Rattus norvegicus: one gene and its partner. The protein of the gene in region 1 interacts with the protein of each later gene in a pairwise test. Links are inferred from orthologs where the notes say so. Each region holds a gene or a part of one and is shown in the gene's direction. Other genes may lie near its edges.

Region 1 (4,369 bases):
CACACAGGCTAGCCTGTTCTTGCATTCTTCCCACCTCAGCCTCCCAAGTGCCAGGAACATATGTGGGCACCAGTATGTTTGGCTGGAGAACTTCCTTTTATCCTGAGTGTGTCTTTTTATTTCTCTACAAGCACAGAGTAGGTTTTCTATTTGTTTCCCACCTCCCATCGCACCCCCAAACCCCCTCCTCCTTCTCCTCTTCTGCTCTTGTTTCGAGACAGCTGGAGCTACATAGAGATTCTGGGACTCCCTAGATCAGGCATGTGCCACCACACCCAGCCTTTTCTTTTGTTTCAGAAGTGAGCCAGTGAGATGGCTCAGCAGGCAAAGGGGTTTTCCAAACACCTGAATTTGATCTGCAGGACCCCCCTGGTGGGAAGAGAAAACAGATGAATAACAGTTGCCCGCTGATCTCCACATGCATGTGTGTGCACACACAACACACAAAGAAATAAATTAAATTAAATCAAATTGGGGTTTCTATTGTCAGGCAACGGCATAAGCAAAGTAAGAAGATTACCTATACCATGTCTCTCCTCCAGAAAGATTTGTTGTTGATCTGGACACAAAGCTACTATGCAAGGTCCTGAGTTTAATCCCCAGCACTGAAAAGTGAGTCCCAGGCCACCCTGAACTAAAGTTTGAGACCTGTGTAAATTCCTCCCTCCTAATTTCTGGGGAACTATTAATGAATTGATGACCATCATGGAGCATTCAGTCAGACTGTGAGCCCGGACTTTTCCATTTAAGATGTCCAGAATTTTGGAAAAAAAGAAATAGCACACTCAGATAAACTTGGTTTTCAGATTATTATATGTATATCAGAAGTATAATAATAAGAAGCGTGCTTATACTAACAATTGTTAGTGGTCCACCTGAAGTTAATTTTTTAAAAATTATTATTATTTATTTTATGTGTCTGCGTGTTTGTCTGCATGTGTGTCTGGTGTCCTCAGAGGCCAGAAGAGGGCACTTGGTACCGGGGAGTTATACAGAACACAGGTCTTCTGCAAGAGGGCCGTGCTCTTAACCCCTTAGACATCTCTCCAGCTCCTGAAATTAAAATTTACTTAAGGATCCTCTATTTTTTCCAGAAGCTCTAACTGCAAAGACGGCCTTACTTTTCCATTCTTTACATTTTTATAAAATCTTTCTGTAAACAGCATGCCGTGGCAGGCTGTGTGGTTTCATCTAGTCAATTTCCAGGTTATCTACGGCAGGAATTATGAAACTCCTTTCATAGACTATTAAAGACGAAAAGAGATAAAATGTATGTAATAGCTCCCTAAGGTTGTTATTGTCACTGCCAGCCCAAGCCCCAGAAGACCAGGACTACATATCCCACAATGCTAGGCGGCGTCTCCTCGCCATTACCTCATTCACTGTCGCTCTCACCAATCCCAGCCTGTCCAGGGGTGTGGTAGCCGGCTATCCTCGCGACTTTTGCGGTCCCCTCCTGCCGGCCTGCTCCTGTCGCGAGACTTCCTGCTCCTCCGCCGCTCCCCTTATCGTCGCCTAGCCGGGGACCCGGACCCAGCCTCTCCCCCACTCGGTCACCGGCCCGGCTCCTCCAAGGCCCCGGTTCCCCCAGCCCCGCTTCGCCGCCGCCATGGCGGACCCTAAATACGCCGATCTCCCCGGCATTGTGAGTACAGGGCCGGGCCCGGCTCCCCAGACCGCGCCCCCGACCTCCCGAGGATCCCTAACAGAAACCAGCCCGCGACCCCTCCCGCTGGCAGGCCTTTCGCCCCAAGGGTTCCCGCCGCTCGCCCTTGGACGGCCGCAGCACCTTCTGGACTCCAGAGCCGGCTGGGCCGGCCGTTGGACCGTGTCGGGCCCCCTCTCTGGCAGTAGCGGGTTTCTCCGCCCAGAAATCACTTCCAGGCGCTTACCACTTGTGCCCGAGTGTTTGTACCGTCCATGTCAACAGTGCTCTTGTCGCCCCAAATTTCCCGATTGCCCGCCCCCGCATCCGTACTCCAGCCATACTCACCAGGCCACTTGATGGCCTTCTTGCCAGGGAGATCTGTGCATTGCGTGCGCCTGTGTGCTTGCTCCTCATACACAAGCCGGCATGTATCCTCTGTTCGTGCTGCCCTCTCTGCATTCTCAGGGTTGGGAGGTTGGTATACAGGACCTTGAGAACTAAGGTCCTGAGTCACTCTCAACCCTTGCATAGTGATGTGCAGGGCCTAACTCAAGGAACCCTCACTCCAGACTAGGACAAAATGATTAGCAAGGACTAGCCTCTCAGCAGTGTTCAGGGTAACATCTTTCTTTAACACTGGTCATTTTATCCCAGGTCCCACTATGTACCTGTGGTCACCCCACCGAGAGAAGGGAACCAACATACAGTTGACAGGGGAGGTGGAGGACAGAATCTTTGAGATACAGTGTGGTTTTCCAGTACCTTGTTCAAAGGAAATGGGATAAGAGAGGAATGCTGGGAAATGAGTCTGGGTGATCCCTGCTTCTCCCTGCAGGCCAGGAACGAGCCAGATGTTTATGAAACCAGCGACCTACCTGAGGATGATCAAGCAGAGTTTGATGCGGTAAGACTATGTGCTACACCTCAGGATCCCTTGGGACTCTGACCTTTCTCCCCAGATACAGGCCCTTTCCCTTCTCTGGCAAGCCACAACAATAAGTGGGTATGCCAACCCCAGCCTGGGTGGTATGTAGGTCTCAGAACTTTTAAAGGCCTTGTTCAGCTTCTGGCAGCCACCAGTGAACGATACTAGAAAGGAGAGTCAAGCCAGTGAGATTACAACTAACAGGACCTGTAAAACCCAAGTCTTATTAAATACAATTGAAGTATCTCTAAGCAGTTACATTCTGGACTAGCAATCGATTAGTGAGGCCCCTGGGTTCTAAACCACGCGTTGAATTATGAAACTTGAACATAATACATTGTTCAAGGTTAGGGTGGGCCTTTTTTATTTTATAAGATATTTCAATCATTAAATTAAATCGTTATTAGTACTTAGCAAGAACTTGAATTTGGAACTGTACTAACCATTAGGGAAGGTGTAATCAGCAGAGAAGAGACAATGGTAATAATATATTAAGTCTGCTCTGTGTGCTGTAAGGAGTCGGTGGGTGGTGGGGGGCACACTTTAACCAGGAATTTATTATCATTTAAAAGAATATGTTCATTCTCTTTTGATTTTTGCCGAGACAGTTAGGATGTATACAGGAAATGTAGGAGTTAGGATATGTATAGGTAACATAAGAAAAAGCCCAAAGGGAATGAACAGACGTTAGTAAAGTGCTGTGAGCACAGAGGTCCAGCAGTGGCCTATATAGATTATGTTTTATTAGTTCCAAACCACACCGAGCTGGGCTCATGTGGATGCTATGAGAGCACAGTGGAGGCGTGGCCAAAGTCATGGGGACATTGTCAGCAGGCCCAGTGTGTGTGTCTGTCAGTCCTGTGGCCATGTCTGTGGGGCTGGTTAGTTCTGGGGATGTTGGCTGCTGCCTTACACTGGTATGGCTTGGCATGCTCACTTATTCTTATCTTGTTCTCCCATGTGGAAGTGCTTCCTACACTGTGGGAATGACTTCCCTGTCCCTTCTCTCAACAGTGTGTTCCTTGTGGCTTCTGTATTTGCTGGCATGTCAGTCTGCCGATCCCTTTTCCCTCAAGCTTAAGTATCTGGAGATAATGCAGATGGTGTCATTGTCGAAGTACCTGAGTGTGAAGCTGTCACTCCAAGAGGTGCCTCAGCTAACTCTGTCCTTAGAGCAGGGGAGCATAATACGAGGAGCCAACTCAGCGATGGCTCAGAACCTCTGCCTGTAGAATACCAAGCGTGCAGAGAGAGACTGTCTGCCAGTCGCTGATGCAGACAGACAGTATCACTGCAGCCCTGTAGACTCAGGTGCTGCAGCTGCTCTCATCACCGTAGCTCAGCCAGCTTTTTAGAAGAGTGTGTGTGGAGACCTTCAGTGCTGCAGGAGCCCTGAGAGCTAAGTCACTTCCTGATGTCAGCTAATATCTTTGGCCCCTACATGTCCCTATGGGCCTTAGGAAGGCCGTGTCTGGGAAGGGTGCTGCGTAACGGCTCTGCTGCTGCTCATAACGTGCTGACGTGAACGTGCAGTTTGAGGGGCAGCTCCAATCCAGAAACACTGTGGCTCTGAGGCCTGGGTGCTGGCTGGGAGCCGCTGAGCCATGAGGTCTTCTGCCGCTTCGGAATCTCCAGATTGTTTTCAATTTGAATTTCATTTGTTTTCAAATTAAGTCATACATTTGTAGAAAAAAAAACAAAAAACAAAAATGTTTAAGACTGTGTTGTGAAAAAGTTCCCCACCTCTGCCTGCCTCTTGGTTCTCTTTCCTCGGAACAGCTAATATAGCCAAATTG
Region 2 (4,362 bases), on another chromosome or scaffold:
AACTAGAAAAATCAACCTATCAATTTTCCATTAAGATTAAGAGAATTGGAAAATATTTTGTCCACAAGAATAAACACTTAAGGATGCAAAAGTCACATGTACTTCTGCAAAATTTACCTCTCTAACTGCCCAGTGACCTCAATATAAGCACTGTTAGGAATGCAAACCATTTCACCATTTCACCATTTCACCACTCTTGGTGACTAGTAGGTTCAGGCAATGTTTTCGTATTTATTGAATAAGCTCACAAAAAAAGGGGGTTTTGAACTATGCAGTAAAAGTTTACATTAAAAATTGTTTTTAATTTGTAACTCCTGCTTACAGTTATAAAGGTTTGCCTTCTACCTACAAGTTGCTATGTCTCAAAGGTGAAATTTTAGCACATGGCTAAAATGAACTATAGTTACAGCTTCATGATTCAGAGTGAGATCATAGGCAACAGAAGGCAGTGTCATACTCTGTGATGGGAAGTCTAGGGGGCATCATGAGCATCTCGAATTTAGACTGTGGTTACTCTGAATATCACAGAATTTGTCTCTTAGCTCTTACTTGATTAGAAGGAGCCTTCTTCAGGAAAGGTTTTAAGAACGGTGAGCTTGGCTCGTTAGACATGTGATCACCAGCTTACAAGGAGTGGGGCAGAAATTTCACCAGCTTTTTGTGGAAAAGATTCCAACTCGGTACTGTGCCATCACTACACACAAATGTGCTTTTTTTTTCCTCCCTGGAGTTTCAAATTCTCACAACCAACCAAAACCAAATCAAACCAGCCATCAGGGCACCAAAAGAATACTACTGGGAATAAGCAGCTTAACCTGTAACTTGCATATAAACACTCTGAAGCAAGCTTTGCCTGGTACGTCTGAACACTTAAAAATATGCTTACTAATAACAACTAGACTAGAGTGCATTAACCCCTGGAAATAAATTTTAAAAAGCAGTCCCTTAACACAAAAGAACACGAAACGACAATCAAAAGATGTCCACAACCAGAGAAACAATTGGCAGGCTGTTTCAGTCAGAGCTGAGGACACTTGAACCACTCCAAAAGCCCTCTGCACCAGATGGCTTCACAAACTGTCTAGAGCTGGCTCCGGACCCCACCAACCGGCTTTCTGCACCACCTTCGTGCCAGGGGCTCCCTCCCGCATAGCTCCGCCCCCTTCCGCTCAACTCTGCCTAGCTTGGTGGAGCTAGCGTCAGAGTGTCAAAGTCTGCTAATTTGCATGACCCAATGACCTGGCTGCATGTAAATGAGGCTAGCCGTGGTTGGCTGAGGGCTAGCCCCATATCTCCGGATCGGACCCTTTGTCCTCCAGTGGCCCCGAGGCAGCTGTGCAGTGTTCCCCAGCGAGGCTAAGCAAGAAGCCGGCGAGAGCAGAGACGCGAGGGTGGGAGCCAGCGCAGAGCCGGCGCCGGGCACTGTGGGGGCCAGGAGCAGCCCGCGCGCCGCGTGAGGGACTCGCACTTGCAATATGACTTTGGAGGAATTCTCGGCCGCAGAGCAGAAGATCGAAAGGTAAGTGTGCCTGCGGACTCGGTGGCCGCCACCCCTACGGCTTCGCGGCCCGGAACCCTACTGACCCGCTCTCGCCCTGCGATCTGCAGGATGGACACGGTGGGCGATGCCCTGGAGGAAGTGCTCAGCAAGGCTCGGAGTCAGCGCACCATAACTGTCGGCGTGTACGAGGCAGCCAAGCTGCTCAACGTGTAAGTGGCCCCGGCCACCCGCGCCCCCCGCCTCCCGCTTACCCACCCGCTTCTACCCCGCGCTCCCCGGAGCTTGTACACTCACCGTTGCCCACTGTCTGTAGAGACCCGGACAACGTGGTCCTGTGCCTGCTGGCTGCGGATGAAGATGACGACCGGGACGTGGCTCTGCAGATCCATTTCACCCTCATTCGTGCTTTCTGTTGCGAGAACGACATCAACATCCTGCGGGTCAGCAACCCGGGTCGGCTGGCAGAGCTGTTGCTACTGGAGAACGACAAGAGCCCCGCTGAGAGCGGGGGCGCTGCGCAGACCCCGGACTTACACTGTGTGCTGGTGACGGTAAGAGACCAGGGGCTGCAGCTCAGAATCTGCTGGGGTGGACCTTGTCCGAGCTGGACGCTGATCTCGCGGGGGTTCTGATACTGTGAGGAGCGTGTCTAAGCTCATGGGTGGCCTCCAGCGGCGGATGATATCAGTGAGTCAGCAGGCTACCCAGCTACCCCTGCCTACCTCTGCACTAGCTCGTGTGACTAATTCTTTGAGCAGAACAGATTAGATAAAGCCACATTAAGTTCCCGGTTCACCCTTCGTTAAGAAGTCAGCTTCATTCTTCATTTGCTGTCAAAGCTAAAGATAGAAGTCGTGTAGGAGACAGACCTTATTAACTCCCTGGATATAGATACTCTGTGAAGTGTACGGAGTGGAATTCTTTTCTTTGCTGCTCTTGAGTTTGTTTAAACGAGCCCTCTCCACCCTCCTCCCCACCGCTTAAAAATGTGTGGTGGGTGGATAGTGTTTTCAGAAAGAAATGTGCTGCTGTCTCGGTCTTCTGGTTTTTTGTTTTTGTACTCTTTTGACTTGTGTAGGGAAGTGGTAGCCTGATTATTTGTGCTGCCAGTGAAAAGTGCTATTCATTGTCAGGAAAGATAAAAGAGTTCAGCTGCCCTCCCTGCAGCTCTCACGGTGCACACAGCCTGAGAATGTTTTTCAGAAGTATTTTACTTATGACTCCACCAGGGTACGTGCTTGGAAGGGCAGTCTTGAGAATGATAACTTCATGAAGAGTGGGGTAGTTAATATGCAAAACTGTGTGGCTCAGTGTGCATTACAGGTGTTTAGACTTGGCCAAACGCTGTTTGGCAGAATGTTTGGGGTTTGGCCCTTTCAAAAGTAGTACAGCTAGTAGCATACGCTGATCATATTATGGGGAAGTAATTTTTCTAAATCTGTTCTCAGAACCCACATTCATCACAATGGAAGGATCCTGCCTTAAGTCAACTTATTTGTTTTTGCCGGGAAAGTCGCTACATGGATCAGTGGGTGCCAGTGATTAATCTCCCCGAACGGTGATTCCCCGAACGGTGATGGCATCTGAATGGAAATAACTGAACCAAATTGCACTGAAGTTTTGAAATACCTTTGTAGTTACTCAAGCAGTCACTCCCCACGCTGATGCAAGGATTACAGAAACTGATGTCAAGGGGCTGAGTTCAACTACAGGAGGGCTAGGAGATGACTTTGCAGAAGGAGAGAGAGGTGAGACTGAAGGAGGAAGCTGTGTGGAAACAGAAATCCAAGTCAAAAGGGACAAAAAAACTACAAAGAACTGTGCAAGAAAGAAAACTATTAATTTAGGATGGCCGGGTTACAGTAAAGTAAACCAAATATTGCTTTGTTGAAACTTTAAATGTGTAGCAATATTTTGGGTATTTTTTTTGGTCTTCATGCCCTCAAATAAAAGAAAAGTGAAAAGGGTTAATCATATTTTCAAGCCACAGTTTAATGTATTTTGATGAGATGTTAAATTCTCAGAAGTTTTATTATAAATCGTACTAAGTTATTTTATGATGTGAAAGGTTATTTATGATAAAACGTTTTTGAAGCACATTATCTAAAATAAACTGGTATGGAATAACTGTGTCGTTTCTCAATGTGTGGTATGTGTTTTCCAACATGGACTCTTATCAGACTTTGTATTGAAACTTTGCTTTAAAGCCACCAGGCAGAAAGATGGGTGATGGTAGAGGGTTTGGGTAAGGGCAAAGGGAATATGGAGAAAGAGTCACCTTGCAAAGTCTGAATTACAATGAATTATTAAAATGCTATAATTAATTGCATGCAAAACATAGAAGCAGAGAGGAGGGTTACCAAAGCTGCTTGAAGATAAGTGAAGCTTTTACTGAGGGGAAAAAAATCATCTTATTGGAGGCTTAAGAAATGAGCTTAGTTTCTCTAGGTAGAGACAGGGAAAGGGTATTGCTAACAGCTACAAAAGTTTGTGCAATGGTGCAGGCATGAAAGATCAGAGCCCGCAGAGAGACCTGCAAGGGTGACGCTGCGTGCCTCTGGTGTAGGGAGATAAGTGAGAGAGAGGGTTGGAAAGGTGGGGGTTCGACTCAGATGCTGACAGGAGTTCTTACATCACCATTATGTATTCGAGCTTCCTTCTGTGAACTTGCCACAGTCTGCAGAAGGAAGTGACATGGTCAGTGTTGTAGGTAGATAACATGGGAGGTAAGGGGTAGTTAATAGGGTGAATAGCTGTAGTTCCCAGTGTAAGGTAGTGAGAATGTTTTGTAGAACCATGACAAAGGGCAGGTTTCTCATGTTCTTAGCCTCTTCCCAGGGCACTATAGCTTCAGCCGAGCA

What was found.
Region 2: the proteins of Dctn2 (region 1) and Gadd45a interact in binary tests that used the Homo sapiens proteins (3 or more experiments, as listed by UniProt). The link is inferred for Rattus norvegicus from reciprocal best matches to the Homo sapiens genes DCTN2 and GADD45A.

What each region holds. Positions count from the first base shown.
Region 1 is NC_086025.1:64,975,967-64,980,335, forward strand, and holds the start of Dctn2 (dynactin subunit 2), read left to right. Parts: upstream 1-1,499; 5' UTR 1,500-1,609; coding exon 1,610-1,645; intron 1,646-2,483; coding exon 2,484-2,552; intron 2,553-4,369. UniProt on the Homo sapiens protein: Part of the dynactin complex that activates the molecular motor dynein for ultra-processive transport along microtubules. In the dynactin soulder domain, binds the ACTR1A filament and acts as a molecular ruler to determine the length.
Region 2 is NC_086022.1:97,483,763-97,488,124, reverse strand, and holds Gadd45a (growth arrest and DNA damage-inducible protein GADD45 alpha), read left to right. Parts: upstream 1-1,325; 5' UTR 1,326-1,475; coding exon 1,476-1,519; intron 1,520-1,608; coding exon 1,609-1,710; intron 1,711-1,795; exon of another isoform or gene 1,796-1,814; coding exon 1,815-2,052; intron 2,053-2,949; coding exon 2,950-3,063; 3' UTR 3,064-3,628; downstream 3,629-4,362. UniProt on the Homo sapiens protein: In T-cells, functions as a regulator of p38 MAPKs by inhibiting p88 phosphorylation and activity.